7 linked regions of the Oryctolagus cuniculus genome follow. The protein of the gene in region 2 interacts with the protein of the main gene of each other region in a pairwise test. Links are inferred from orthologs where the notes say so. Each region holds a gene or a part of one and is shown on either strand. Other genes may lie near its edges.

Region 1 (4,339 bases), on a different chromosome or scaffold from region 2:
TCCCACGCCCCAGCCCAAGTTCCTGCTGAGCACGCCCTCAGAGGGCTCCTCGGTGAGCTCTGTCACAAGGCTGTGTCCTCTTGAAAATATCAGCTTCCCAAAAAAGCCCCTAGGAAGCACTTATCTGCACGTGCTATTGTGCTGAGCTCTGTGTCCAGTGAGTCACACTGTCACAGGCGCTGCCCTCTGGGAACAAGTCTGGAATCCTTGGCAGAGACTGTAACATCCAGTTAGGCTAAGTACAGGGGTGTTGCAAGGGAAGGAATGGCTTAAAATCTCCCCAAGGCCGTTGGGTGGTGACTCCCCTCTACCTCTCATAGCCCACTTCCAGCTTCCTCTTCTCCCCCCTCATCCTGCCTCCTCCCTTCTCCCCTAGACACCGGAACAGTTTTTCCTCCCTCTAAATTTCAGATGGCTCACTGTAATGCTTGATTTTTAAACAAATGATAGCATTAAACATTAAGGTTTTTAAGGATTTAGGAGCCCATCCAGGAACATATTTCTACCTTAAACACACACACACAAAAGATTCATTTCAGCAATTCCAAAATCTTACAGCCTTATATTAAAGAACCTAGACATACTAGAGGAAATCCCAACCAAGCAAACATGAAGACAAGAGCTTCGGGGAAGGCAGACCAATACCTACCTTGACTTTAAAAAGAAAAGTAGCCATTCCCTTGCACCATGCAAAGAGCAAAATAGTTCAGAATTTCCAAATCATGCTCTCTCTCTTCCTGGCCATAAGGTGCTCCCTTATCAGTCTATACAGATGCCCATCTGCAGCCATTTTAAATGCATTCATTTTAATAGTCAAGGAGTCTTGCACAGTTTGGGGTGTTTCCCTCTGCTCAGTTGCTACTCGGCCCTTCTCGCTACATCACACAGAAGAAGGGCTTTGGGGCCACTTTGGCTCTTCCACCTACACCGTGACCCTGTCTAGAGTTCAAGCACAGACTCAGGAGAAAGCCAACTTAAAGTCTAGACGAGTTGGTCTTCAGTGTCCCCGGTGTCTTTTCAGGGGCTTCCTTCCCCATCATCTTTCCCCCTTCTTCCCTGACATGTGAACTTGTCCTTGCCGTGTCCTCTCCTGTGGCCCCCTGCACATTCATATCTGCCTGTTCTATTGAGTGTCTACCTTTTCTGAAGCAAAGGTGAACGCAAAAAGGTCAGACAAGAATATTCCTATTTAGCCCATTTTAGAAACTAATGGGGGACAAGGACCAAGGCACTTCCCTTGGCCCTCAATAAGTTGCCCTGCATTTTCCACAAAGACTTCCTGAAGACGAAACCAACAGAAAGAGTAGAGAGTAGTGGGCAGTCCGTTCATGACGTACTGCAGACAAGTAGAGAGAAAATCATTGCAGAGGGACTGCTCCAAAGGCCACATTTTGCCTATTATGGAGGGCCAGCAGGTGACCCTGTCTCAATTTCTTTAAAAGGACTCCTGGCTTTGTGCCAGAATCAGCCTCCACTCCACCCCCCCCCCATCCCTGCCAACTCAGTCCTAATAAACTATAAACTGCAATTTAAAATAAAGCATGCATTTCCACAACCTTTCTAATGTCTCAGGGCTTAGCCTTTTTTTTTTTTTTTTTTTTTGCAGCCTATTGGCACTCAGGAGGTAGAAGAAACCTCAAGATGTATAAAGTGCTTTGGGATCCATCTGACAGACCAGGATAGAGAAATGCCCCACGCCTCCCTGGGCCCACAGGTGCCGCTGCTTGCGTTCAGTGTAAAGGATGAGATCAAACACGCTTTTCCTGACAGGAGCTGTCAGGCAGGGGGAAAGGGTGAGAATGCAACCACTCCTGTTTGCCCTAAAAAAAAAAAAAATGGATGAAGTGGAGACAGAGCCACTGTTAAGGGAGAGGATGAGGAGGGGCCTGGGGTCTTGGGCTCAGCACACCGTGACACAGCCCCAGGCTGGACATTTACAGCCCCTAGAGCCTTGCGTGAGGCGGGGGCCCCCTCCCAGATCCCTCCCTTCCCGGACCTGACCAGCTGGATCACCTTGATCTTCTCGCCCTCGATTTCAACCGTCTTCTCCCTGAAGTCCACCCCGATGGTGGCTTCAGTCTTGTCCGGGAAGGTTCCCCCGCAGAAGCGGAAGGTCAGGCAGGTCTTGCCCACGTTGGAGTCCCCAATCACGATGATTTTGAAGATGCGAATCTGCACGTACTGATCCAGCGACGAGTCCAGCTCCAGGGATGCCAGGCCAGCAGCAGAGGCGGGCTGCAGGCTCCCATGGCCCAGGATGGGCTGCGCCATCTCCCCGGGACCGGACCGGGGCCCCAACCCCCCTCGAGGGCTCCACACAAAGAAAACGGTGGCCACGTTAGTGCGCTCGAGGCGAGCGAGCTTTGTGCGTGTGTGTGCGTGTCTGTGAGTGTGTGTCCGCCCGTGTGTGCGTGCGCCGGCAACGTGTGCGCGCGCGCGCGTGAAGGGGGTGCCTCACACCCCAGGTCTCCCTCCTCCTCCAGCGCACCCTCCTTGCAGCTCCGAGGCACCAACACAAAAGCCAAGGAGAGGAGGAGATGGAGAGGGGTGGGCGAGAGGAGAGCCTTCCCCGTCTGCCGGCGCGTGCCCTCAGATGGGACGCTGGGGCGCGCGACCGTGGGACCCTCCCCTGCCTGGACTCCAGGGACACACCAAGGGAGGAAGCCTAAGGAGGCAAGGGAGAGGTGGGGAGAGCAGCACACACTACCCCGAGATAGACTTCCTTTCTCCTTGCGCCCATTTATGTTGTAGGTTTCCGGCTCCCAGCGCCACCCTCCCCCGCTTTGCTCGGAGCGCACGGGATCAGCCAGCAGGGAAGCACAGCTAGGGAGGACAAAGAGCACTGCACCCTAAGGCATCATTGGGGCACTTGGGCCTCGGAGCCACACGTCTCGGCGGGGTGGGGTGGGGGCGGAGACACCTCTTTCGCCTCAGAAGCAGCAGGCAGCTGAGCCGCGCCTCGGCGCTCCCTGCTCCCCGCCCAGCCTTGGAATAAAGAGATGCTCTGTCTTATTGAGTAAGCAGGTGCACTTGCAGGTCCCGAGGAGCTGGGGAGGGTGCTACCAAGACACGCAGTGGGTTGTGGGGAGCCCCGTGCAGCTGAGAGGAGGAAGCCGGGGGGCGAGGGTGTGCGTGTGTAGAGGGTGTCACTGTGTCTGTCACAGATTTGCCAGATGTAGGGGGTGCGTACCAGGCGCCAACCTCCCCTCATCACACCACGAGCACCCATCCTCTGAATGTTCAGGAGAGCAGCTCTCATTGGCTGTCGCGGTCGGTTGTGTTTGGCTGGCCAATGGGGAAGGCCTGCCGGCGGGAGAGGGCCATATAGAGGGTAGGAGAAGGGGGGAAGCTAGCAGTGGCAGCTCCAGCGAAAGAGGACTTTATTTCTGGGGCTGACCACTGCAGGCCCGAGGAGGAGGGATCTTGAGACATGGCATAAACCCCAAAATGTCTTCTATTCCCCAGCCCTCCGCTTAACCAGAAGTCCTTCCAGAATAATGGAGTTTCAAAGGGAGTTGGGACTCTAAGCGGGTTCACCCCCCTGCAGCTGAATGTAGAACCAAGTGGTTGGGTCTAATTTGCCAGAAGCCTAGATTATGCTTGGAAGATGATAAATGAACACAACTTTCTTACGTTATTAGAGGGCACCATCCCTCTCTCCAAAATGATTTGAAGGTTCAGATTTTGTTTGAAATCAACTTTACTGAGATACAATTTACATACAATACAGTGAACCCATTTCTGTTCGTTTTTAATACTTCATCCCCCCCAACATATTTCATAGGCAATAGCAGAGCACCGGCACATGAGTTATTGCTAATGCCATCAGTCAAGGGTTCATGTGGCACAGGTGAGCTTCCATCTTGTTTGTGTGTGAAGCAGAGCTGCAGGAAGACGCAAATGTGCCTAAATCCATTCCCATTAAAAGAAAACCAAGTCAGGGTTTCAGTGAATATATCTGTAAGTAAGCTGGAATGGGACTACTCAACCAAGTCCAAGTTACTCAAAACAAGATCTCTAGCTAATAGGCCTATTAGCTGAGTTAGCAGATATATTTACAGCTAACCCTTATAGCATATATGTAGGTCAAACATTTTTTCTATTTCAAATTATTTAATTTTTAATTTTTCTTTAAAATTTAAGCTATAGAAACTTCAAATATATATATATACCAATTTGATCACCCATTTCTAAAATCTGAGATTATACTATTCAACATTAAAACCATTAAAGAAGGCTTTAATCTTAGTTGGCTAATCCAAAGTCATCATTCTGAATATCAATTATAATACCATGTATGGATCATCACTGTAGAGTACTTTGGTTTTCTGATTCTGAT
Region 2 (4,081 bases):
TGGGGACAGCCATGTGCGGCCACGTGCCACGTCCCCACTCGTCCTGGTGAGACCCTCAGCGTCCCCTCCCTTCCTGAGCGCTGCCCGACTCCTTGCAGTGTCCACGTGTGTGCTCCTGTCACCACCGCCTCCATCTTGGTCTCCATCACCGCCCGGAGGGGGGCCACGTGCCAGTGACGTCACAGGAGGCCCCAGGGGCCACGTGTCTGTGACGTCACAGGAGACTGGGGGGGCCGCGTGCCAGTGACGTCACAGGAGACCCCGGGGGTACATGCCTGTGACATCACAGGAGACCCTGTGCTGAGTGACGTCACAGGAGACCGGGGGGCCGCGTGCCAGTGACGTCACAGGAGACCGGGGGGCCGCGTACCAGTGACGTCACAGGAGACCCTGCGGCTGTGTGCTGAGTGACGTCACAGGAGACCTGGGGGGCTGCGTGCCAGTGACGTCACAGGAGACCCGGGGGGCCACGTGCCATGACGTTACAGGAGACCCTGGGGGCCGTGTGCCAGTGACGTCACAGGAGACCCCGGGGGTACATGCCTGTGACATCACAGGAGACCCTGGGGGCCCTGTGCTGAGTGACGTCACAGGAGACTGGGGGGCCCCATGCCAGTGACGTCACAGGAGACCCGGGGGACCGTGTGCCAGTGATGTCACAGGAGACCCTGGGGCCGTGTGCCAGTGACATCACAGGAGACCCGGGGGGCCGCGTGCCAGTGACATCACAGGAGACCCTGGGGGCCGCGTGCCAAGTGATGTCACAGGAGACCCGGGGGCCCTGTGCTGAGTGACGTCACAGGAGACCTGGGGGCCGCGTGCTGTGTGACAGCGTCACAGCTTTATTTCAGGAAGCCACCCCCGACATGGGGCACGTGCTGGCGGTGGGCAGTGGGCAAGGGTGGGCGCCCGGCTGGGGGCCTCGCTGACGCCTCACACGGGCTCCAGGGGCTCCATGTGCAGCTCCTCCGCGTCCACAGCCTCCACCTTGTGGAAGGCGGCGTGGGAGCCGATGACCACCAGGGTGGCCCCTGAGGGAAACGGGCGGCTCAGGGCGGGTCCCCTGGCCCGGCCCCGCCGCCACCCCGCCACCCCGGCCCGGCACTCACCCAGCACCCAGAAGACAGCGGAGCCGGCCCCAGCCAGCCAGAAGAAGGGGAAGGAGACGCCTCCGGCCAGGGCGTACTGATGGGCTGGGCTCACCTCACGGCCTGCGGGCAGACGGCATGGGCAGCTGCCTCCACCCGGCCCCCCAAAGCGGCCCCTGCCCCCTGCCCGGCCCCCAGCGTCCCCACCGCCTCCCTCAGCTCCCAGCTCAGCTTCCAACGGCGAGTCTCAGCCGGTGGAGGACACAAATGGACAGAACCTCACACGGCCGAGACGCCACCTGCAGCCTGGCGAGGCCAGGGTGTGGCTGGGCTTCCTCAGGGACCCCTCCCCGCTCTGCCAACCCCAGCCCCCCTGCCCTTGGCTCCCTGATCCCGACCACCCCCTGGCTGCCCCCCAACCTGCCAGTTCTGCTCGGTAGCAGGAGGCACGGCCTGGACTCCCCTCCCCAAGCAGCCCCAAGACCTCCCCGGTCCCACCCCGGGGCGCAGACAGGTGGGGAGGGCCAGGCCGGTGCAAGGGCGCCACCTGGTGTCCCGTGTGGGGACGTGCAGCGATGCTTCCCGCAGAGGCGGGGAGGGCGCGGCGGCTGGGGCAGGGCTGGGGCTTAGCCAGGGGGTGAGCGAGGGCGACGCGGGGGCTGAGGCTGGGACACCAGCTGTGTCAGGCCTGCGGGAATCCCGAGAGCCAGGCTCGGGTGAGGCCCCAGGGACGGGGACTTGGGGGCCGAGGTCTGCGAGCCGAGAGGCCAGGAGGTGACTTCTCACCGAAGAGCACGAGCTTGGACTGCAACGTGCGCAGATACAGGATGTAGCAGGCGCCGAAGAAGACGGCCAGGGCCACCAGCAGCATGGGCGACGTCACCCTGGAGGAGGAGGGCAGGGAGGCGGAGGTCAGGAGGTCAGGGCCCGGGCCCGGCCGCAGCGGGCGGAGGCCAGGGCGCCCTGGGCGTGGGGCGGGCCGGCTCACACGCAGTACAGGATGAGGCCCAGGAACACGAACACGTAGTTGCTCTGGTAGTACTCCACATTGCGGACCAGGCGCTGGCACAGCTCGCCCAGGTTGCGGGGCCGCGAGAAACGCCGCTGGTCCACGAAGGCGCCCCACGGCCGGATGGTCGCCCGGCGCCGCTCCAGCCACTCGCGGCCGGCGCCGGACGGAATGAGCTTCGGCAGCAGGGTCCTGGAGGGCGGGGGGGGGGGGCAGCGGTGAGCCGGGACCCCCGACCCCTCCCAGACACCAGCGGAGGGGGGAGGGGAGGGCCGGCGCCTGGGCCCTGGGGCGGGCCGGGGCGGGGCAGGGAGGGGCTTCCCCTGGATCCCGGGGGAGGAAGGGGCCGGGGGACCGGACTCGCGTCCTAGAAAGACGTTTCGGTGTCCGGGGGCCAGGACCCCCGCGACTCGAGGGGAGAGGAGGCCGGGGCCGGCACCCCCGGGTTACAGCGGGCTCGCTCACGTGGCGCTCAGCCCTTCGGCCTCGGCCTCCTTCTGCTGGTCCTTCGGGGCCGCCATGTCTACGTTGTGAAGGGCAGAACCGCTGTAACTGGCCCCGGGCCCTGCAGACCCCTCGGGCCCCGCCGGTGCCAGGCCTCACCCAGCGGCGCGGACGTGGCTCCGCGTCGGCGCCGCTGGGGGAGGAGCTCTGCTCCCCGAGCATTGTGGGAGTTGTAGTCCCGACGGGCGACTGGGCGCCATGACGGCAGTCTGGCTCGCAGGGCATTGTGGGAGTTGTGGTCTCTCTGGGCATTGTGGGAGTTGTAGTTTCAGGAGTGGGAGGTGGGGAGTTAAGTGTTGTGTATTCTCCCTCGGAGGGTCCAGTGGGGACCGTGCGGGGCTGTCGTCCTGACTCTAGAAGGCATAAAAATGTACCCTGGCGGGCTTGATTAAACACTGAATCCTAGGCCTCGGGCCCAAATGTTCCGACTCAGCCAGTCTGGACTGCAGGCCATGAAATCCGCCTTTGTATCAAGTCCCCCGCGGGCCGCATACCGAGCCCCAGGGTTGCAGGGAATTTGTGGGCGTCCGTTCCGTCCTCGAGAGGTGGGGAGCGGGCCCCTCCCAGGGATCCCGGGGTGAGTAGGGTAACACTCGCGACAGCCACGAGGGGTTGAGGAGAGGGTTGAGAATTTTACTTTATGTTTTACATTTATTTCAGAGAGAGACACACACACACAACTCCCATCCACTCAACCCAGGTCTCCCACACGGGACCCAGGAGCCCGATCATCTCCCAGGGCCCCAGAACCCGAACCAGACCCAGTCACTCCGAGGTGGGACACAGGTGCCTTAACCACTAGGCTAATGGCCCTCTCCCCTAAGAGAACTTGTTGTTCTTGTTGCTATTTAGTATTTTATTTACTTACAGAGTTACAGAGAGAGAGAGAGAGAGAGAGAGATCATCCGTCCACTTGTTCACTCCCACATGGCCACAACGGCCAGAGCTGTGCCGATCCAAAGCCAGGAGCCAGGAGCTTCCTCTGGGTCTCCCACGTGGGTGCAGGGGCCCAAGCAGTTGAGCCATCCTCTGCTGCCTTCCCAGGCCACAGCAGAGAGCTGGGTCAGAAGAGGAGCAGCCAGGACTTGAACCAGCACCCGTAGGGGATGCCGACATCACAGGTAGAGGCTTAGCCCACCATGCCACAGCGCTGGCCCCTAAACAGAAGTGTGTGTGTGTGTGTGTGTGTGTGTGTGTGTTTAAAGGAGCTGTCAGCTCCAGCATTGTGGCACAGCAGGTTAAGCCACCGCCTGTGACGCTAGCATCCCATATGGGCAATGGTTTGAGTCCCAACTGCTCCACTTCCCATCCAGCTCCCTGTCAATATGCTTAGGAAAACAGTGGAAGAGGCCTCAAGGAGCCGGCGCTGTGGCGTAGCGGGTAAAGTCTCCACCTGCACTGCCGGCATCCCATATGGGCGCCAGTTCGAGACCTGGCTGCTCCACTCTTGATCCAGCTCTCTGCTGTGGCCTGGGAAAGC
Region 3 (4,298 bases), about 29 Mb from region 2:
TAATGTGCCTGGGAAAGCAGTGGAACATGGCCCAAGTGTTTGGAGCCCTGGCACTCATGTGGGAAACCTGGAGGAAGCTCCTGGCTTCAGTCTGGCCCAGCCCTGGCTGTTGCAGCCATTTGGGGAGTGAACCAGCAGATGGAAGACCCCTCTCTCCCTCCCTCCCTCCCTCCCTCCCTCTGTGTGTGTGTGTGTGTGTGTGTGTGCATATGTAACTCTACCTTTCAAATTAATACATCCTTTTTTTTTAATGGTCTTAATAAACAGGAGATTGTGAAAACCAGAGAGAACCAGACAAATCAGAGTTTTTAAAAGCTGCTTCAGTTAAACAATTCTGTAAGGCTGACGTGCAGGCAGGGAGTCCCAGGTCCTCTACAAAATTATCCTGAAAGGGCTGGCAATGTAGTGTAGTGGATTAAGCCACTGCCTGCAATGCCAGCATCTCATATGGGCACTAGTTCGAGTCCCCGCTGTTCCACTTTTTTAAAGATTTTTACTTATTTATTTGACAGGTAGAGTTACAGACAGTGAGAGAGACAGAGGGAAAGGTCTTTCCGTTGGTTCACCCCCCAAATGGCTGCCACAGCCAGAGCTGCGCCAATCTGAAGCCAGGAGCCAGGTGCTTCTCCCAGGTCTCCCATGCGGGTGCAGGGCCCAAGTGGATGGCTTGGCTTGAGTGGATGGCTCCTGGCAAAGCTGTGCTTGGCCCTGCCGGTCCCACCCAGGGTGCGGGACCTGGGCCATCCTCCACTGCCCTCCCGGGCCACAGCAGAGAGCTGGACTGGAAGAGGAGCAACCGGGACAAAATCCGGCACCCCAACCGGGACTAGAACCCGGGGTGCCAGTGCTGTAGGCAGAGGATTAACAAAGTGAGCCACGGCGCCAGCCCCACCTGCTCCACTTTCAATCTAGCTCCCTGCTAATGCACCTGGGAAGACAGCAGAAGATGGCCCAAGTCCTTTAGCCCATTACACCACAATACCAGCCCCCAAATAAATAATTTTTTTTTTAAAAAAGTTATCCTGGAGACACTGCTGATGACAGGCTATGCCAGCCTGGGCTCAGTCAACAGTTATTAAGCACTTGCTGTATGCCACTACAATCAATCAACAGCCACCCTGTGACCTGCTTACCTTCCCCAGTGGGTCAAATTCTCACAGCTGCATGTGAGCAAGGTTAAGGGGCTGGGGGCAGATCCAGTATCCCCGGTGGCTCCTCAGCCAGGACACATGGAGTTCTCCATTTTGGGGGCAGCCAAGACTGCGCAATCAGAGGGGAAATAAAGCCAGAGAGGCCTGTTCCCAGCAGGTGCGTGGCCTGTGCTATCTCAGCAAACCGCACACCACCTCTTAGAAGGCGGTGAGAACGCCACCTTTAAGAGCAGAAGACTGAGGCCAGAGAGGCGAGCTAACCTTGGCGAGTGAGTGGTGGGAACTGAAATCCAAGACTGGGAGATGGAGAGGCAGACAGGAGGGCTGCAGAGATGGTCGAACAGCCACAGAGGGGGTGCGCTGAGGCCCGGGGTTAGAGGTCAGAGGGAGCCTGGGACCGACAGTGACAGGCAGGGTCCTGTTTCCGCCTGGCCAGCCGCTTAGCAAGTCTGGTGGAGCAGGTGAGCCCATCTGACAAGGGAGGAGAGGTGCTGCACCCAGGGCCCTGAAGCTCGGGTCCCCCACGTGCCCACCGTGAGCATTTCTCCTCTAGGTCTTGTGGAAGCAGGGAGGGGAGGCGGAAAGGACCCAGAAGTTCCGTCTCCATGGGGCTTCACAGCCTGCCCCGGGCAGGGGTTAAGTCCAGCACCTGGGCCGTTCTCCGGGGCAGGTGGGCTGGGCCTGCCCTAGCCAGAGAGCTCGCCAAGGCAAAGTTGATGAGGGATGACAGATGCTGGCTGTGGCTAAGCGGGCTCTGAGCCCACACTTCCCAGGCCCTGCCTGCCCTGGGAATGCACAGCCTAGAGCCTGCCCCTTGCCCTGCCCCCACTATCTCCAGCTCCACATCCCTCCCAGCTCAAGCCTCTCGCTCACACCAGGGCAGCCGCCTGGACGCCTCAAGTCTATGACCCCACCCCTGTGTCACACACAGAGTCCCTCTTCAAGGCCACCCCTGCTCTCACCCGCCGGCTCCCCCCCCCCCCCCCCCCGCCCTAGCTCAGGCTCCAACCTCTTCTCCAGTGCCCTGACTGCTCCCTGCCCCTCCCTGCCTGCAACCCGGCTCTAGTGCTGTAAGGTCCTCCAGGGCAGAAACCGCACTTCCAGGTGCCAGACACATTTACTGAAAGCCACATGCGTTCCTGCAGCACATGGACGGGGAACTCCCGAGTGTCCCCCTCCCCCCTCCCAGTCACCCCTCCCCGGGGGCGCACACGGAAGCCGGGGTGTTACTGTCCAGCCCCCCCGCCCAGTTCAGGGCGGCCAGTCCCAATCGCTTCACCCGGCACAGCCCAACGCTCCTGTGGGTCTCCAGCATAGCATCTGGTCACTTCCCCAGAGGGCCCCCCAAGACACCAGGATCCCAGGCCACTTGGCCTCTATAACGGTCAAGAAACTTCTCCCCCTACAGAAAGGACCGTCACAGGGAGCAGACACGAGACGCCCGCGGCACGGGTGCTGCCCGGAGTCCAGGGCGCTCCTTTCTTGGGGAGTGAGCCGCCCCGATTGGAGGGCAGGGGATCCGAGCTCCTTTCCCTGAGCCGGGCAGGGACCCCAGAGGCCGTCTCGCTCACTCTCAGCAGAGCCGGGCGGGCTCCGCCCAGGAGCAGGTAGAGCACAAGCTGGGAATTAGTTGGCATCCGCACCCCTCGGGCTCGCACCCGAGCGCCCCAACCCCCGGGTACCGCGGTCGGAGCCCGCTCCGACCCGGAAAGCGGCGACGGCGATACCTGTAAGCAGTTCCAGCCGGTGCCCCAGCACCCTCATCGCGGCGCGGCACGGCCCGGGCTGTGGCGTCGGGGAGCGCGCAAGGCGAGCGCCGAGCGGCAGCAGCGGCGGCAGCAGCAGCAGCAGGAGCGCTCTCGCCGCCCCCCACGCCGCGCTCCCCCGCCAAACCCGTGCGAAAAAATCCACCAATTGCACGGCCGCGCACCCCCAAAAGGCGCCCGCCGCCACCTGGTCCGGACGAACTCCGGGAGGCGGGGAGAGCGCGCGGGGAGGGGGCCGGCGACACCGCGGGAGGGGCCCTGCGCCCGCCTGGTGAACAAAGAGGCCCCGCCGCCCCCGGCCGTCGCGGGGCGCGGTTGGTGGCGCAGGGGGTTCCCGTGCCCCGCGGGGAAGGCAAGGAGGGAGCGCCGGGGCTGGGTGGGGACGAGGGGGCTGTCCTCGCTTAGCAGAAAGGCGGCTCGGCCGGGAAGGTGCGGCGCTCCTTCGGGGTCGTGCGCGGAGCCTGGGGCTGCGCGCGCCACAACCAGGGAGCGGCGACCTGGGGGCGCCGCAGACTCACCGAGGTGATGCGGGAGACACAGACGCGCAGGCGGGGAGCCGGGCCACGGCACCGCCGCCGCCAACGCGCGGTGCAGGCGCCTGCAGCCGGGAGCCCCTGCGCCGCTGCCGGGAGCGGAGGCCGGGGCTGGGGGCGGCGCGCCGCGGGGGCGGGCCCACGTGGGTGTGGGGGGGGGCGTGGGCACTCAGTCGCGCGGGGCCAGGCCTGGCTGCTGCGCCTAGGATCGCACTAGGTGCCCACTGCGCTCCTGCCGCGGCGGGAGCTGAGCCAGGCGCCACGACCCGCAGATCCGGCGGAGACCCCTTGCGGGTCCGCACCCCCTTCCACGTCTCACCTCTGCGGGTCCCGGCCTCTCGGAGCGCAGGCCTGTTGTCAGCGACGTCGGGTTCCCGGGGGAGGGGCGGCCCCTGCCTGGGGCTTTTTTTAGACTCCCGAAGGCCTGGAAGACCGGGCAGAGCCTGGTGTTCCGGGGCTCTCTGGGGCGTCGTCCGGTTTGCGGAGCCCAGGGTTTCCTTGGGAGAACGCGTGCGGGAGTGGATGGCTCCTAGCAAAGCTGTGCTTGGCCCTGCCGGTCCCGCCCGGGGTGCGGCGAGGTACCCTCTCCCCCGCGTTCGTCCCGCGGAGTCCCGGGTTTTCCTCCGCCCGACGCAGCGGCTCCCACCTGCTGCCCCTCCCCCACCCCTAAAAGGGAGGGCCTTGGCCTTGGACCGAGGCCCACACGCCGGGGAGCGAGGGAATCTGATGCCCTGAAAGCGTTTGTTTGGGCAAGACACGCGTCCTGCAGACCCAGGTTCCCTTCGGGCTCCAGCACGTCCTGGACGCCACGCTTTTGGGTGCAGGAGGCGTGCGCAGGGCCAAGTCAT
Region 4 (3,732 bases), on a different chromosome or scaffold from region 2:
CCCCGCCGCACCCCCGCGCCACTTCCAAGCGGTGCAGGCGGCGCTCCCTTTCGCGCTGGGCGCGCTCGGCGGCCGGGCACATGTCCGGGCACGTACCCAGCGGCAGCTCGCAGGCGGGCATGGTGGGCCGCGGGCAGCAGGGGCGCGCTCAGCACCGCGGCCGCCCCTCGCCCGTTCCGGGAGACCTTACGCCGAGGCCGGCGTGGGCTCGGCAGCAGGGGGCGTGCCGAGCCGGGGACCCGCTTCCCCGCCCGCCCGTCGGGCCACCGCTTCCGGCTCTGCCCACCACCGTCCCCTCACCCGACCCGGCGACAGCACCGCGACGCGGCCCACGACGCCCCACCGCCCACCGTTCCGCTAGCTCCAGCAGCACTAACGCCCTGCTCCCGGCGCGGCGCTCAGCCTCGGCACTCCCAGCATGCACCGGTCTGTTGACACGCCCGCAACCAATCGCTTCGCAGGAGGGGCGGCACCGGGCCACGCCCCCAAGCGCGGCCGGCACGAGGCCACGCCCCCTCCGCGCTCCCAGTTGTCTTCCCCTGTCAAACGGATAGCCCCGCCTTCGGCCCCTCCCCATCATCCCTTCCACCCAATGAGGGCGCTGTGCCGGCCTTGCTCCACTGTTGCCATGGAGACGGCCCTCCCCCACTAGGTAGCGCCGGGGCCCGAATGCCCTCCCTGCGAGGCGGGCAGTGGATTTGCCCTTGGCGCCACCCAACAGCTAGGTGACCCCGCAGGTGCAGCCTTGGGTCCCGCCAAGTTTTATTTATGTACGATTACGTTGCATGTAATCTTCACCTGCCTGTTATTTTTCCCCCAACCATTAAAAAGTGGAAAAAAATCTCAGTATTTAGCACGAGATGTGTGGCTCCGGGCTGTGGGTGGCAGAGCCCGGGGCCAGACGGGTGACCTGACAGTCCAGTGGTCGGATGGGCTCACAAGCGCGAGCCCCTGGGCCCAAGCAGACCCCCACACTCCGGCAGCTCAGAATTCATCCTTTCGTTCTCATTCTTGGTGCAGCCGCATACAGAAACGGCCCGGTGGGAGGGCCAGGCCCTGGGGGAGGGGCCGGGGAGGCTGGCAGTGCTGGAGCTGGAGTCCCGGGGAGGGTGCGCCCCCTCAGGGCGGGAGCTGGGTCAGGTGCAGGTGCAGGATCTCCTCCGCCCGCTTCAGGTACTCAGCCGCCTTCCTCTTCACACCTTCCTGGCGGGCAGGGGATGGGTCACCTGGGGGCGACACAGTGGCTCCTCTGAGCGGCCCTGGCCGAGCCCCTTACGGTTCCCAGAGCGACCCGCTGAGCCTTGCTGCCTCCCCTTGGACCCAGCGCCTATCTCCCATTGCACAGATGAGAACAGGGAGGCCCCGAGAGAGCCAGCCGCCCAGGGGCGAGGACTCCTGACGTCTGCGCTGCCCTCGGCCGGGACCCCAGGCCGCCCCTTACCAGGCACCCCCTGCAGCAGGATGTGCACGCCGTCCCGATAGCCCTGCAGCGCGGCCGGGTAGGCGCCCGCCTTCTCGTCCCGCAGGGCCTGGGCGATGAGTTCCGTGGCCTGGCTCACGTAGGCGGGTACGGGCTTTCCCTGCGGGTCCTCCCCCTGCTGCCCTCCTGGCTCCCAGGGTTCCTGCGGCTGCGTGGCCTCCGCCTCGGTCGCTGCCAGCTCGCCTGCGCTGGTGGGGCTGCAGCCTGCACCTAAATTTATGCAGTCAGAGAGGGGAGAGGGGGTATTCAGGCCAGGAGGCCCTTCCCTTCCCGGGGCCTGCTGCCCACCCCACACCAGGGCGCCGCCCTGTCCCCAGGGGAGGGGAGCAGTCCCGGGCGGGCACAGGGCAGAGCAGCCGGGTCTGTTTAACGGGTGCGGCTCCTGCGCTCGCCCGCAGCCTTGCTGTCCTAACTGGCTCTTTAGGAGCACGCGGACCGTGGTCTCCAAGCTCTGCGTCCCTGGTCCTGCTTGCCGCTGCCTCTGGCTGACCTGAAACCCAGCGTTTTAACGGAAGGCGGCTGGGCCGACGGCAGGAGGCCGGGGACGGAAAAGCCCGAAGTCCCCGCATTGGAGCGGCGGGTTCAGTGACTTGCAGGGCTCTGCGAGGTCTCACAGTTTTAGCCCAAAGGTGAGGACGGGGGTGAGGGGTCTCCTCACTGTCCCGAGTGAGGGGCTCAGCACGCCTGCAGGACTGGCGCCGAGGTGGTCGGACCCCGTCCCTGCAGCGTTCACGCGAGGCCGCGAGGCTGGCGGGTTGGGTGAGAAGGCCTTTGAGCCCTGGCCCTACCTCTGCCGGCCGGTGGGTCTCCCCTGCCTTCAGGATCTGGACCCTGAGCCGGCCGGGACCCCCACCTGCGGCTTCCAACCGCAGGGCCCGGACTCTGCAAACCTCGCTGGAAGGTGGCGGGCGCGAGTCCAGCTGGTGAACGGCCTCCTCCCCACATTCTGTACCTGCTGGCCCCACCCTGAGCCCCGGCATGACGGGGGCTCCGAGGCTGCCTGCTGCCTCGGGCAGCACCACAGAGGGGCCCGCAGGCTGCTGGCAGCTGGTGTGGCCTGGATGCGGTCACAGGGCCCCCCCAGAGGTTCCTGTGCTGGATGCTTGGTCCCCATGGCAGCACCGGGGGGTGGAGCCTGGAGAGGTGGGGGCCGGGCTGGTGTTGCGGCACAGCAGGTGCAGGCTGCTGTTTGGGAGGCCGGCACCCGTGTGAGCGCCTGGTCAAGTCCTGGCTCGCAGTCCAGCTCCCTGCTCATGTGCCCAGGGAGACAGCGAATGATGGCCCGAGCGCGTGCACCCTGCTACCACGGGGGCGGCCCGGATGGAGCTCCTGGCTCCTGGCTTTGGCCTGGCTCAGCCTTGGCTGTCGCGGCCAGTTGCGGAGTGAACCAGCGGATGGAAGACCTCTCTCTCTCTCTCTGTGTAACTCTGACTTTCAAATAAATACACAGAGTTAGACAGCGGTGTGTGGGGATTGGGTGCTGGGGGCACGGACCCCAGAGGCGATGAAGGCCGGCCTTACAGAGTGGGCCCTGAGCTGCTCTCACTTCCTGTCTCACCATGGGATCGTCTTCATTTATTTTTTAAAGATTGATTTATTTATTTGAAAGGCAGACTTACAGAGAGAGAGAAAGAGAGACAGAGAGTGAGTGTGTCCATCCGCTGGTTCATTCCCCAAATGGTCACAACATCCGGGGCTCTGCCAGGCCGAAGCCAGGAGCCAGGAGCTTCTTCCAGGTCTCCCACACAGGTGCAGGGGCCCAAGCACTTGGGCCATCCTCCACTGCTTTCCCAGGCCACAGCAGGAAGCTGGATTGGAAGTGGAGCAGCCGGGACTCGAACCGATGCCCATATGGGATGTCGGCATGGCAAGGTGGCTTTCCCGTTATGCCTGTCGGTCATACCATAACACCATCTGCCACAAGGCCCTGACTGGGGCCAAACACACGGGGCCGCCCTGTCTCGGACCTGCAGCTGCCGACACCGTGAGTGAAATCGGCTCGCTTCCTCAGTGCCCACCTTAGGCCCCTGTTACAGCCCCAGAAAGTGAACCAGCCTCGGCCCCAGACACCCCGGCTCTGGCCGTCCCCATCCGTTACCTTCCTTGGAGAAGGGGTCGAAGAGGGCGAGGTCGGCCTCGGTGAGTGGGCCCCGGGTGGGGGTCCCCGACGTCTCCTGGGGGCTGCCACAGCTGAAGAGGAGATCCAGGGCCTCCTGGGCGGGGCTGGACGGCGCAGGGTCTGCTGAGCAGAG
Region 5 (4,355 bases), on a different chromosome or scaffold from region 2:
GAGTATGTTGGGACAAATTTGCAGGGTGGTTAAAACTGTGAGCTGAGATTTAAAAAGTCACAAATGGCTGGATGGCTTGCTATCCCCAGATGTAAAAAGCAGACATGATAGGATCTGCACCACAAGCTTGTTTGAGGCTTAGGGAACCAGACACATAAAATCCCTTCACAGTGCCTGGCACACAGTAAGTCCTCATTAAGGTAGGCTGTTGGAGTTAACAATTAAGGAGGAGAGGGGTTGTCATATATTGTTTTTGTTTTTGTTTTTTTACAGGCAGAGTTAGAGAGAGAGAAACAGAAAGGTCTTCCTTCCGTTGGTTCAGCCCCAAATGGCTGCTACGGCTGGTGTGCTGCGCTGATCCGAAGCCAGGAGCCAGGTGCTTCTCCTGGTCTCCCATGGCGTGCAGGGCCCAAGCACTTGGGCCGTCCTCCACTGCCTTCCCGGGCCACAGCAGAGAGCTGGACTGGAAGAGGGGCAACCGGGACAGAATCCGGTGCCCTGAGCAGGACTAGAACCCGGGGTACTGGTGCCGCAGACGGAGGATTAGCCTGGTGAGCTGTGGTGCCAGCCGATTGTTATCAATTTTTAAAAAACATTTTTTTTAGACGGAGCTCCAATCTGCTGGCCTACTCCCCAAAACCTGCTACAGCTCCAGGAAAAAGACAAGAACTGGTTCTTCCACACGGGCGGCAGGAACCCGGTCCCATGAGCCATCACTGCTACCTTCCAGTGTCTATGAGAGGGAAGGTGACAGGCTCGGAACCCAGGCGCTCCAACACCCAGGCGCTCCAACACCCAGCCACGAGGCCTAAACTAATAAAGGTCTCATGACCTATCAGGCCTCTTTTTTCCCTTGGAATATCAAGCTTTGGCCAGGAGGCGGCCTTGTGTTCCATGAGACATAGGCAGCACAGAACCTCAGGCTTCAGGAACTCGTTTGAATTCACTAAACACGTGCCTACCCCACCTCCCTTTTACTTCTGAATAAAAGACAACGGAAACTGGAAGCTGCCAACAACACCTCAGCTAGCAAACGACTGTGCTAAGGCTTCCACTGGGACGGTCTGACACCAGAAGTCGTATCTGGTCTCTGCATGAGGACACCCGCTTGTTGAACAGGCCTTGGAGAACCTAGAGCTAACTCACACCTCCCCGATGACCAAGAGAAAGATGTTTGGAGACAACAACCGAAAATCTGGGGAATTACCACGGAGTGCACCGCGAACCCAGCCAAAAGCCCTCCTTGGCCACTCTTGGAAACCAAAGCCTGAGTAGACTGGGCCCTGTCTGTAGCCAGTTCTCAGCCTTTCCCCAGCTGCTCCACCTCAGCCCGGACACCAGAGGGAAAGAAGCTCCTCCCTCCCCCATGGCTTAAGCAGCAAAGGAATCCCCAGAGGGAGAGCAGGGCTAGGCCAGGGCTGGGAAAGATCAGCAAGGGGCTCCACAGTCAAGCTCACTGCTGTGGCCCACGGTGCCCTATGCTGCTGCCCTACAGGCTGCCTGCAGAAGGAGGTGTGCATTTCTGCTTTTATGAACCTAATGGAGCAGACCACACCTCATGACCGAGGGGCCAGATGAGGCTCGGCCCAGGGCCCTGGGGAGGAGGCAGCTGCATCGGGTCACCCCTACCCCTCCCCGCCCCTGAGGGGTGCTGGGGCCTGAGCAAGACCCACTGTCCACACCAGGCCCTCCCCAGGCCCCAGGGGAGCCAGCAGGAGAAGGCAGTGGCCTGACTGCTGCCCAGGGCACTCAGCTCCGGGCTCCAGGCTCACAGGAGACCTTAGTGCCTCACCTCTACTTCAAGAGCATTGAATTCCCTCTTTCTTCAAAACAGCCTCCAGTCACTGTCAAGTCTGCCATGGCTTTCAGAAACAGGAAGACCCAGCTGCACTCACCTCCCCTCACCCCCATCCTCCTGGCCAGGAGCCCCAGCCCACCTGGGCCTCCCCAAGCACAGCCCACTGCCCAGGGAGGGGGGGGAACCCTCCCACCCCACCCTCACCCCAGCTCTGCAGTGGGGGCAGAGCTTGCACCTGCGCTGGGCACCTCCCTCCCCGCACCTCGGTTTCCCCGGTGATGGACACCACGCGGGAGCCTCCTTGTCGCTCTGAACGTCTGCGCCCATTTTCCTGCGCGTCCCCGCGTCTGGGGAGCAGCCGCTCCTCCCTTCCAGCAGACACGTGGCTGTGCAGTGCGCCCACCCTCGGCGACCCCCGTGCCTCTGGGAGAGTCTGCCGCCACCACAGCTCAGCGGCCGCCTGTGCCTCCTCCTGTCACTGGCCCTGCAGCTCTGTCCCTGTGGATTTTCCCCGAGGCCGCTTCCCTCATCCCACAGCCCCGAAAAGACCCTGCCTGCCGCTCCCCACTCCCAGTGTCCATGCCGGCTGCCAGGAATTTCCAGTGCCCACCCAACCCCGCTGCTGCTGCGAGGGGCCAGCACTTTTTCTGAAACCCAGCTTTGGCCTCTGCCTCACCCTCTCCCGGGGGTCATTCCAGGCAAACCGCAAGATCAACAGGGCCCAGCCCCCTCCCCAGCGAAGGAGCCCCGCATCACCTCCTCCCCCGCCGCGCCCGCACCCGCGCCCCGCCCCGCACACCTCGGCCAGAGGAGGCAACGCTCAAAATCAAAATCGGGGAGCCCGCGCCTCTCTCAGCCGGCAGGGCCGACACCTGCTCGCAGGGAGGGTCCCGCGAACTCGGAAGGGAACGGGAGGCCGGCTTGGGCCAGGGCGCCGTCCCCACCGCGACCGTGCGGGTAGAGCTGGGCAGGTCGGCCGTCACTTACCCGCTGTCCTGGAGCAGCGCAGGCCGGGGGCGGACGGCGGGCGCCGACTTTGCTGACTCAAAGGCGTGGCGGCGAGCGCCCAGGAACGCACGCGAGCGCAGCCCCGCGCTCCCCGCGCACGTAACGGCCCCGCGCCCGCGCCCAGCGCCCGCCGCCCGTGTGCGGCCGCTCGGCCTCCTGCTTCCGCCTCCCGCGCCGCCCGCCCAGGGGCCGTCTCAGCCCGCCGGCTTCTGACCCGTAGGCGGACCCCGGCGGGCTGCGGCGGCGCCGGGAGCCCGGAGCCCGCGACCTTCGTCCCCACAGCCGCTGCTCATCCGCCCCCACCCCCCAAGCGCTGGAGCTGACGCTGTGGGAGCAGCAGCGCGGGACTGGGCCCTGGAAGCCAGCTGGAGCCGGGACCCAGGCCCCTCAGCTGTGTGCGCGCTGCGGGGAGGGGCGGGCGGGTGCTGGCAGGGGGCCTCGGGGTTGGGGGGGCGTGCGTGTGGGCTGCAAATGCCGACTTTAACGTTTAAAATGTCTGATATTTAAGAGACGGGCTATGGAGAGTGCCAAAGGGCCTGAATCAGGAACGTATTTCAGAAATGACACCTTGGGCGGGGTCTCCCCCAATCCCTGCCCCTGAGGTGGGGGAGGAAAGGACACCATGGTCAGCGCCGCCTCATCTTTAAGTTCCCCAGTGGCCCTGGCTGTGCACACCTTGGGGGCCCCGCACAGTCCGCTGGAAAGTCCGCGCCGTCTGTGTGTCCACAGTGAGCGTCCATTCGCTCAGGGTGTCCCCAGATGATCAGTCTGAGGTCAGCGGTGCGCAGAGGAAAACTTTATTTCCCCTGGGAGAAGTGAAGGAGACAGCAGGAGCCCCCGAAATAACCGACCCCCGTGAGGGGCAGATTCCCGGGCTTCTCCTCACGGGCGTCCCCATGTCGGGAAATGGCGCAGTCTCTCCCCGGGTGGAGAATTTAATCCTGGAAGCAAAGCTCAGCTCGGGTCTGCAGACTCGGACTCAGAGCAGCATCTTGCAGTTTTGTGGCTCCTTGTTCGTGGCGGCCCTGCCCTCCCAGTTCACTGTAACAAACTAAGCTCCCCTGGTAGCTTGGGAAAACAGGCTCAAGGCGGCTGGTGCTCTCTGCCCCAGTCCCAGTTCTGCCCTCCTCCCCTAAATCCTACATTCTTGGCCACAAAATGCTCCCTGAGACCTTTCACTCCCATTCTGGAGGGAGGGGAAAGGCAGGAAGTGGTGCTTTTGTAACTACTTCCTGCTGAAGCTGGCCACGGCCCAGGCTGGAGAAGTGAGACTCCCTCAAGATGAAGCAAGGGCTTGTGTCGTGGGGAGTAGCCCTGGTGGCCCGCAGTGGCGGCCAGGCGTTTAGAAGCATCCTTAGCTGACATTCAGTGTGGGGTCCTTTGGGGGAACAGTTTGGGGTCTGACCTGGGCTCTCCAGGTAGCCATCAGAGGGTTCAGGTGAAGTGAGGCGCGCTCTGCTCTCAGGAGTTCCATGTTGTAAAGTTCCATGTTGTAATTCAGGAGAAGAATGAGTGGTTAGGAGCCGGGAGTGCTGCTGCCAGATGGGGC
Region 6 (3,834 bases), on a different chromosome or scaffold from region 2:
GGCCAAAGCCAGGAGCCAAGAGCTTCATCTGGGTCTCCCATGTGGTTGCAAGAGGCCAAGACCCTGGGCCATCTTCTGCTGCTTTCCCAGGCGCATTATTAGGGAGTTGGATCAGAAGTAGAGCAGCCAGGATGTCAGCCCTGCAGGTGGCAGCTTTACCCACCATGCAACAGGGCCAGTCCCTATTCTAGATACTAAGAAGTTCATTATTTACACCTTATTTTACATTGAAAAATTATTCCCATTTTAGTTTTTACAATACAGACACATATTTCTCTTTATTAGCTAATTCTGATTTCATGTATATGTTCAAAATACCAAATTAGGTCCAATTTGCCCTATTAATAGTGAGTACAATTCTAGTTTCCAGAAATCAGGTTACAAAGTTGATCTAGATTTATTACTTTTTCCAATACTCAAATGTATTAGACTAAAAGAGTAACTGACATGTAATTCCACATTAATCTTGATTATTAAGACACATCTAACATTAAAGTATTTCTTTATGTAGATTGCTTTAAGAGGTATCTCAAACACACTTTTCTAAAAATGTAGATAAAATGTTTATTGGAGTGGGCACGGTGGCACAGTAGGTTAAGCTACCCATCCTGTATCAATGCCTGGATGAGTCCTGGCTATGCTTCTACTTCCAGCTTCCTGCTCATGCACAGCACGTGCTGGTTCAAGTCCTTGGGTCCCTGCTACCCATGCTGGAGACCCAGATGGAGTTTCAGGCACCTTGCTTCATCCTGGCCCAGCCTCAGCTGCTATAGGCATTTGAAGCATGAACCAGCAGATGGAAGATCTCTATCTTTCACTGTTTTACTCTGCCTTTCAAATAAATAAACTTAAGAAAAAAAAAAAAAAAACCTGCAGATAATTGGAATTTCTGAACAAGAAAAACATATTCTGTTTTACTAATAGCCTTTCTTTTACATTTACAAGAAAAATCTAGACATAAATAGGCTTACTAATTTCCCTTAAAAGAGAGAAAGCAAAATTTCAAAATACGAGGGTACTTCAAAAAACTCATGGAAAACTGGAATTAAGTTTCAGGGCAGCATTTGGCATAGTGGTTAAGATGCCATAGGAGACCTCCCCCATCCCGTATCAGAGCGCCTCAGTTTGAGTTCTAGCTCCACTTCCTATTCCATCTTCCTGCAAATGTAGGCTAAAGCAGCAGGTGACGATTCTGCCACTAATATGGGAGACATGGATTGAGTTTCTGGCTCTTGGATTAGGCTTGGCCCAGTTCCAGAAACTGCAAGCATCTGGAGAATAAACCAACAGATGGGAGATCTTTGTCTCTGTCTGCCTTTCAAATTAAATAAATAAATCATGACTTTTAAAAACATGAAACAAATGAAGTGTTAGTATCATAAAAGATTTTACTATCATATAAAATTTATATGACTAAAAAACTTTGATTGCTATGTATTCTACTTACATCACGTAATAACCTAATAACAGGGCAGTTTCTAGGTTACTTCATGGGATTTTTCCCTTTCACACTGCAATTGAAATGTTGATGGCCTACAAACTAGACAACCTGCAGTGAGTAACTGAAAGCCGGGGCAGCATGTATCTTCAGCAAGGTTCCTTCCAAGATAGCAGATGTCACAAGTTCATATTTTTCTTGTTTGTGATCCCAAAACTGGCAGCATTTTCTTTTCATCCACTCTGTTCTTATGTATTTGGAAAGCAGGTGTTATCCATCTTCCACATGAGCACTGTTCACCATACCAATTGAAGGAACCCAATTTGGCACTGCATTTTGGACAAAGCAGCTGAAATAAAAAGCCAATGTATTACTTCATTTATTCACTTTTATACAAAACAAATAATTTTCTTTGGCAATATAGGATATAAGCACAGGCAAACATGGCCCCTATCTTCAAGGAGTTTGTACTCTAATTGGTGACATTAAATACATGAGGAATTTGCTGTATTATAGATGGTGGACTACAATTACTGCCTAAGAAGTATGTTGTACTCGGGCAGCTTAGAGGAAGAACAGATGGATCCCAGCTTTAGGGGAGAAAGGTGACATTTGAAACTCAAGGATGGCTTCAAGAATGTGGCATACATACTAGGTTTTTAAATCAACGTGTAGGGGCAGGCACCTGACACAGTGGTTAAGACATCACTTAGAACAGCCACATCTCATCAGAGTGCCTGTTTTGAGTGCCACCTCTGCTTCCAATTCCAGCTTCCTGTTATGGGTACCCTAGAAGGCAGGTGATGGCTCAAGTAATTGGGTCCCTGCCACTCATGTGGGAGATCCAAATTGGATTCTGGGGTCTTGGCCCAGCCCTAGCTGTTGCAGGTATTTGGGGAGTAGACAAATGGATGAAAGATCTCTCTCTTTTGGTTCTAGTTCCAGCTGCTCCTCTTCCAATCCAGCTTTCTGCTATGGTCTGGGAAAGCAATAGAAGATGGCCCAAGTACTCAGGCCCCTGCACCTGCATGGGAGATCTGGAAGAAGCTCCTGGCTTTTGATCAGCCCAGCTCCGATTGCTGTGGCTATTTGGGGAATGAACCAGCAGATGGAAGACCTTTCTCTCTATCTCTCCCTCTCCGTCAGTAACTCTACATCTCAAATAAATAAATAAAATCTCAAAAAAAAAAAAACTACAACATGAATAAAGAATGGAAAAGATTATTAGGATTCTCATGTTTTATTACTGATAATGATAGCATGTAAGTCAGATTCCTAGTGACTTAAAAACAATCAACTGATATTCCAGTAAAACAGATAAATCAAAGCTTTAGTAAACTGTATTTTCTTTCAGTGCAGTTATCACATTTTTTAGGTTTAGTTCTATAATTTGTACATGGTAGGAAGTAGGAATTTTTGCTTTTAATATTAAACTACAGGAAGTCCAGATTTAAAGCCCAGAAACCACAAATGAAAAAATAGACTACACAGTATCTTAAATTTTATTACAAAATATACCAAAAATTTGAGATAAGTAATAGACTAGGGAAAATAATTCTATTTATTAAATGAAGCATCTACATCTAGAATATATACACAGCTCCTACAAATCAGTAAGAGTAAGAAAATTCATAGAAAATAGGCCAGGGATGGTAAAGCAGTTTACACAACAAGAAACTATAGATGGGGCGGGGGGGGATCGGCGCTGTGGCTGAGCGGGTTAACGCCCTGGCCTGGAGCCCCGGCATCCCATATGGGCATCAATTCTAGTCCCAGCTATTCCTCTTCTGATGCAGCTCTGTGGCCTGGGAAAGCAGTGGAAGATGGCCCAAGTCCTTGGGCCCCTGTGCCCGAGTGGGAGACCAGGAAGAAGCTCCTGGCTCCTGGCTTCGGATAGGTGCAGTTCCGGCCATTGCGGCCATCTGGGGAGTGAACCATCAGATAGAAGACCACTCTTTCTCTCTCTCTCACTCTCTCTGCCTCTCCTCTCTCTGTGTAACTCTGACTTTCGAATAAATAAATAAATAAAAAGCAACTATAGATGGCTGGTAAATGCAAAGATGTCATCCTCGGCTGTAGTCATGAAAAACGTAAGATTAATATTTTCATGATACAGACTGACAAAACTTCACCAGTTTTATATATAACTTGCCCAGGGTATGAGGAAATGGGTAGATATTCACTGTTGGTGAAAACTAAATTTGTATGAGCATTTTGAATGTCAGCCTGGAATATGATTAATATTTAAAATGTATACAGTCATAAAGCCAACAATTTACTTCTAAGTGTATACCATATAAGAAAACTCAAATATGTATACAAAGAAATACGCACAAATAGGGTTTAGAATCTTTCACAAAAATATCATGTGTTTGTATATTTTCCAGGTTAAATGA
Region 7 (3,834 bases), on a different chromosome or scaffold from region 2:
CAGCCCCATTCACAGTAGCCACACACACACACCACAGAATGAATTTACCAGGACGTGAAAAACCTCTACAATGAAAATTATAAAGCACTAATTTTAGAAATTGAAAAAGGCACAAGAAAATAAAATAAAAAAAAAAACCTCCTTTGTTCATGGGTTGGAAAAAGTGTTTAAAATGTCGGTTATGCAAAGCAATTTTACAGATAAAATGCAATCCTCACTCTTGCAGTAGCACTCCTCATAGAAAAAAAACCCTATAATTCTCTCAGAAAAACAATAGACTGAAGAGCCAAGGCAAGCTTCAGCAGCAACACTGGAAGCATTACGATGCCTGATTTCAAGACAGATGACAGAGCTACAGGAACCAGAGAGCACGGTACTGGCGTGAGAACACACACACAAATGGGACAGAACAAACGACAGCCTCTGCTATTAATGGTGCTGGGACAACTGGATATCCACATGCAGAGAGCTGAAACTTGACACATGCACACAACCCACCTCTCAATCACTATAAAAATCAACTCAAAATGGACCAAAGAACTGAAAGTATTAAGTTACTGGAAGAAAACATGGTGAAAGTATTTCAAGACTACAATATAAGCAATGCTTTTGGAGGTAAAATTCCAAATGCTCGGGCAAAATTAAGGCAAAGACAGACAAGTGGGATTCCATCAAACGAGGAAGCTCTGCGCAGCAAAGGAAACAATCAGTGTTGTGAGGACACAACCGACAGAATGACAAAGAATATTTGCAAACTCTTCATCTGACAAAGGAGTAATATCCAGAATACGTAAGGAACAAAAAACTTAACAAAAAAAGTGCAATTTAAAAATAGGCAAAGGATCTAAAGACAGTTCTCAAAAAAGTAAACACAGATGGCCCACAAATAGAGGAAAAAGTGCATGGTCATTAGCAGGGAAATGCACATCCTAACAATGAGGTGTCGTATCGCCCCAGCTAGAACAGCTATGAATGCTAGCAGTATGCAGACGAGAGGGAACTGGGACACACTGCTGCAAACTCGCAATCTTCAAGCAGTGCAGGAGGCTCCAGCCATCTGGCTGCTGACATGTAGCTGAAGACAATGACATCGGCACGTGAGATACTGCACTCCCACGCTGACTGCAGCACTATTCACAACAGCAGACACGAATCAACCTCGCTGCCCAGAGACGGGTGAATGGTTTAGAAAATGCATGGTGTATGCACAATGGAGTATTATTCAGCCACAAAAAGGGGAAGTTGTGTCATCTGCAGAAAAACGCACAGAACCAGGGGCTACTAAGTGAAGTACCCCATGTCCTCCCCAACACGTAGAAGCTAAGCGGAGGAGTTGACCCGGATGTAAGGTCATGGTTCCGAGGCTGTGACCTGGGAAGGTCGGTGACAGGTAGCAGAACAGTGACGGAGGATGCAGTTCTGGTGTTGCTCAGGAGCACGACTGCAGGGACCAGGAACTACGAGGAAGGAGGCCCAGAGGGAGCAATGAGGGTATGTCACAAGGGTGACAAACAGGGACAGTTTCAGGTCCTACTCCATGAACCTGTTGTGTCTGCAGACTAGGAGCATGACCTGGGAAAGGCATCTTCTAATGACTTTCCAATCCCAGACGCTGGGCACAGGGTCTCCCACAGGGAATGTCATTGCCTTGGTGTCGGGGGCTAGGCACGGACCTGCTCCGTGCACAAGCACTCAGTAAGCTATTAAGTACAACATGGTATCTATCCCACACACCACGGCTTCTACAGGCTGAAGTCATCAACTGACATCAAAGTTTCTTGTGAAATAGCAGGTATTTGACAGTAAGTCGTTTTCTCATTTAATGACATTCATGTTTTTCAGCTATCGAATTATTATAAATGATATGTAGGACAACAGATACAAAGCACTACATTTTAAAGGTATTCATTAAACCTCAGAGGTGGTTTTACTTCAACTGAGTATTGGCAACGTCGTGAAAAAAGTCACATTACCCTGATTAGCAAGATCGGTAACAACTGTAACGAGCAACTTCACTTATTCACAAGAGACTTTTATTGGTTTTCAAAAAGCAATGTTATTTTAAGGTACAGTTTATAAACAGTAGTCATATCCTGATTTTTGCCAACATGAAAACGTGTTCCTCTCAGGAGTTCATGGACTACAGCACACATGTGGCAGACACAGGAGTCCTGGCGAGCAGGGAGCCAGTGACCAGGGAGAGTAGCAGAATGTGCCCAGCCTCCCTCCCTGGTTGGCTGAGGCCTCCACCCACCCACCCACCCACCCACCGCAGGGCTGTGCGCTCTCCTCCCATCCCTCCAGCAGCTGGTTTCTCAGCGTCTGCAGTTCCGCTTTCCTGAAGGTGCAATCCCACTCACATTCCGCCTGCACACTTCTCAGTCACCTACCAAACATGCAGAGCCCGATATGCACTAGAGCTTTCCGAAGGTCAAGTACACGCTAACAAAGTCATTCATTACACCTACATTTTCTTGATTTTAACGATTTGTTCGAAAGATTTCTGCCTTCATTAAAAATTTATACTCAGGTAAATAAAAATATGATGGTCATAATGTTTGCTGTAGCCAGCTGTAGCATAGAGGTTGCTGAGCTAGAAACACACTTGGGCGGGAGCTGTCCAGTGTTATTTAGCCTTAAGAAAATGCCAGCAGAAGGAATGGGATACAGGCACAATACTCCGTCTCCAGCCGTTACACTGAACTGTGCATATCCTCCAATTCTGTTCTATCCCAGGTACTTGTATCACTGCAAAGATGTCGCACTACGCAGAAACGCGGCAGGCAGCCTGGGCTTCTGCATCGTGGGAGGGTATGAAGAACACAGCGGAAACAAGCCTTTCTTTATCAAATCCGTGGTGGAAGGCACACCAGCGTACAACGATGGAAGGATCAGGTAATAAAGACAACTGCTGCACAGAGAGCTTACATTCAGGTCCTTTGCTTCAGACACACAATACTGGCCCCATCTGAAATAAGGGCTCTTCCTTTTGAGGGGAAGGGTGGGCAAGAAAATAAAACACTTGCACAGCATTTAACATAAAACACCCCGATGATCGATCGCACGTGCTCTCGGCCCTACACTGCAGGTCGCTCTACCTTGAGCACCCCTTTTAACACAAGCGGAATGACTAGCATGCTTAAAGAATCTAAGGGGGGGGGAGACCCTTAAGTAATCAAAACCAAACAAATCTAGCAGAAATGAGGCCACCAAAATCAATCTGCATAAACTTCAGCTAAGAAACCAAACATCCCTCCTGCTGCCTTGTTCAGGTGCGGTGACATTCTCCTCGCAGTCAACGGCAGGAGCACAGCAGGAATGACGCACGCCTGCTTGGCTCGAATGCTGAAGGAACTCAAAGGAAGAATCACCCTCACTCTGGTGTCCTGGCCTGGCACATTCTTGTAGCATCAATAACGGGTCAGAGAACATGACACACGGGCTAAGCTGGAACAATGTATTTATCTTGTCAATTTTTATAGTGAACGAAAACTTTGTGAAAATGTCAGAGAAGGCCTAATCTAATAAAGCCAATTGCACCTCAGAAAATAGGACTCTCAAAAAATAAAAACTACTACAGAATGGTCTGATCTAGGATGCAGCACTGCACTGTACTCCTTCATTTGTATTTTGTGCTCAATAAAACGCTCTCGAGCACCTGAAATGGTTTGTTAGGGCCCACCGAATTCAAATCATCAACTCAAATGCTGGTTCAGGCTGAGATCAGCAAAGGGTACGTTACGGGCATTTTTAATTTAAAGCAAGAGGATTTTGAAAAATGCATTCATTGCTAAAAACATTCAGCAAATGAGAAATAAATATTTTTCCACAAAC

What was found.
Region 1: the proteins of RABAC1 (region 2) and RAB33A interact in binary tests that used the Homo sapiens proteins (3 or more experiments, as listed by UniProt). The two-hybrid records come from large-scale screens. The link is inferred for Oryctolagus cuniculus from reciprocal best matches to the Homo sapiens genes RABAC1 and RAB33A.
Region 3: the proteins of RABAC1 (region 2) and NDRG4 interact in binary tests that used the Homo sapiens proteins (3 or more experiments, as listed by UniProt). The two-hybrid records come from large-scale screens. The link is inferred for Oryctolagus cuniculus from reciprocal best matches to the Homo sapiens genes RABAC1 and NDRG4.
Region 4: the proteins of RABAC1 (region 2) and SNX15 interact in binary tests that used the Homo sapiens proteins (3 or more experiments, as listed by UniProt). The two-hybrid records come from large-scale screens. The link is inferred for Oryctolagus cuniculus from reciprocal best matches to the Homo sapiens genes RABAC1 and SNX15.
Region 5: the proteins of RABAC1 (region 2) and SNX10 interact in binary tests that used the Homo sapiens proteins (3 or more experiments, as listed by UniProt). The two-hybrid records come from large-scale screens. The link is inferred for Oryctolagus cuniculus from reciprocal best matches to the Homo sapiens genes RABAC1 and SNX10.
Region 6: the proteins of RABAC1 (region 2) and DUSP12 interact in binary tests that used the Homo sapiens proteins (3 or more experiments, as listed by UniProt). The two-hybrid records come from large-scale screens. The link is inferred for Oryctolagus cuniculus from reciprocal best matches to the Homo sapiens genes RABAC1 and DUSP12.
Region 7: the proteins of RABAC1 (region 2) and LNX1 interact in a two-hybrid assay, tested with the Homo sapiens proteins (2 studies listed by BioGRID and IntAct). The link is inferred for Oryctolagus cuniculus from reciprocal best matches to the Homo sapiens genes RABAC1 and LNX1.

The regions. Positions count from the first base shown.
Region 1 is NC_091453.1:107,848,083-107,852,421, reverse strand, and holds the start of RAB33A (ras-related protein Rab-33A), read right to left. Parts: upstream 3,083-4,339; 5' UTR 2,272-3,082; coding exon 2,014-2,271; intron 1-2,013.
Region 2 is NC_091449.1:12,583,498-12,587,578, forward strand, and holds RABAC1 (prenylated Rab acceptor protein 1), read right to left. Parts: upstream 2,760-4,081; 5' UTR 2,619-2,759; coding exon 2,563-2,618; intron 2,290-2,562; coding exon 2,077-2,289; intron 1,973-2,076; coding exon 1,875-1,972; intron 1,212-1,874; coding exon 1,110-1,211; intron 1,032-1,109; coding exon 934-1,031; 3' UTR 813-933; downstream 1-812. UniProt on the Homo sapiens protein: General Rab protein regulator required for vesicle formation from the Golgi complex. May control vesicle docking and fusion by mediating the action of Rab GTPases to the SNARE complexes.
Region 3 is NC_091449.1:41,762,856-41,767,153, reverse strand, and holds the start of NDRG4 (protein NDRG4), read right to left. Parts: upstream 3,034-4,298; 5' UTR 2,916-3,033; coding exon 2,879-2,915; intron 1-2,878. UniProt on the Homo sapiens protein: Contributes to the maintenance of intracerebral BDNF levels within the normal range, which is necessary for the preservation of spatial learning and the resistance to neuronal cell death caused by ischemic stress.
Region 4 is NC_091432.1:6,508,599-6,512,330, forward strand, and holds the end of SNX15 (sorting nexin-15), read right to left. Parts: coding exon 3,579-3,732; intron 1,691-3,578; coding exon 1,442-1,690; intron 1,227-1,441; coding exon 1,120-1,226; 3' UTR 746-1,119; downstream 1-745. Other genes in the region: SAC3D1 (SAC3 domain-containing protein 1), read right to left, coding at 1-121. UniProt on the Homo sapiens protein: May be involved in several stages of intracellular trafficking. Overexpression of SNX15 disrupts the normal trafficking of proteins from the plasma membrane to recycling endosomes or the TGN.
Region 5 is NC_091447.1:18,011,358-18,015,712, reverse strand, and holds the start of SNX10 (sorting nexin-10), read right to left. Parts: upstream 2,953-4,355; 5' UTR 2,786-2,952; intron 1-2,785. UniProt on the Homo sapiens protein: Probable phosphoinositide-binding protein involved in protein sorting and membrane trafficking in endosomes. Plays a role in cilium biogenesis through regulation of the transport and the localization of proteins to the cilium.
Region 6 is NC_091438.1:37,037,645-37,041,478, forward strand, and holds part of DUSP12 (dual specificity protein phosphatase 12), read right to left. Parts: intron 1,788-3,834; coding exon 1,626-1,787; 3' UTR 1-1,625. UniProt on the Homo sapiens protein: Dual specificity phosphatase; can dephosphorylate both phosphotyrosine and phosphoserine or phosphothreonine residues. Can dephosphorylate glucokinase (in vitro).
Region 7 is NC_091439.1:110,430,465-110,434,298, forward strand, and holds part of LNX1 (E3 ubiquitin-protein ligase LNX), read left to right. Parts: intron 1-2,736; coding exon 2,737-2,895; intron 2,896-3,272; coding exon 3,273-3,408; 3' UTR 3,409-3,834.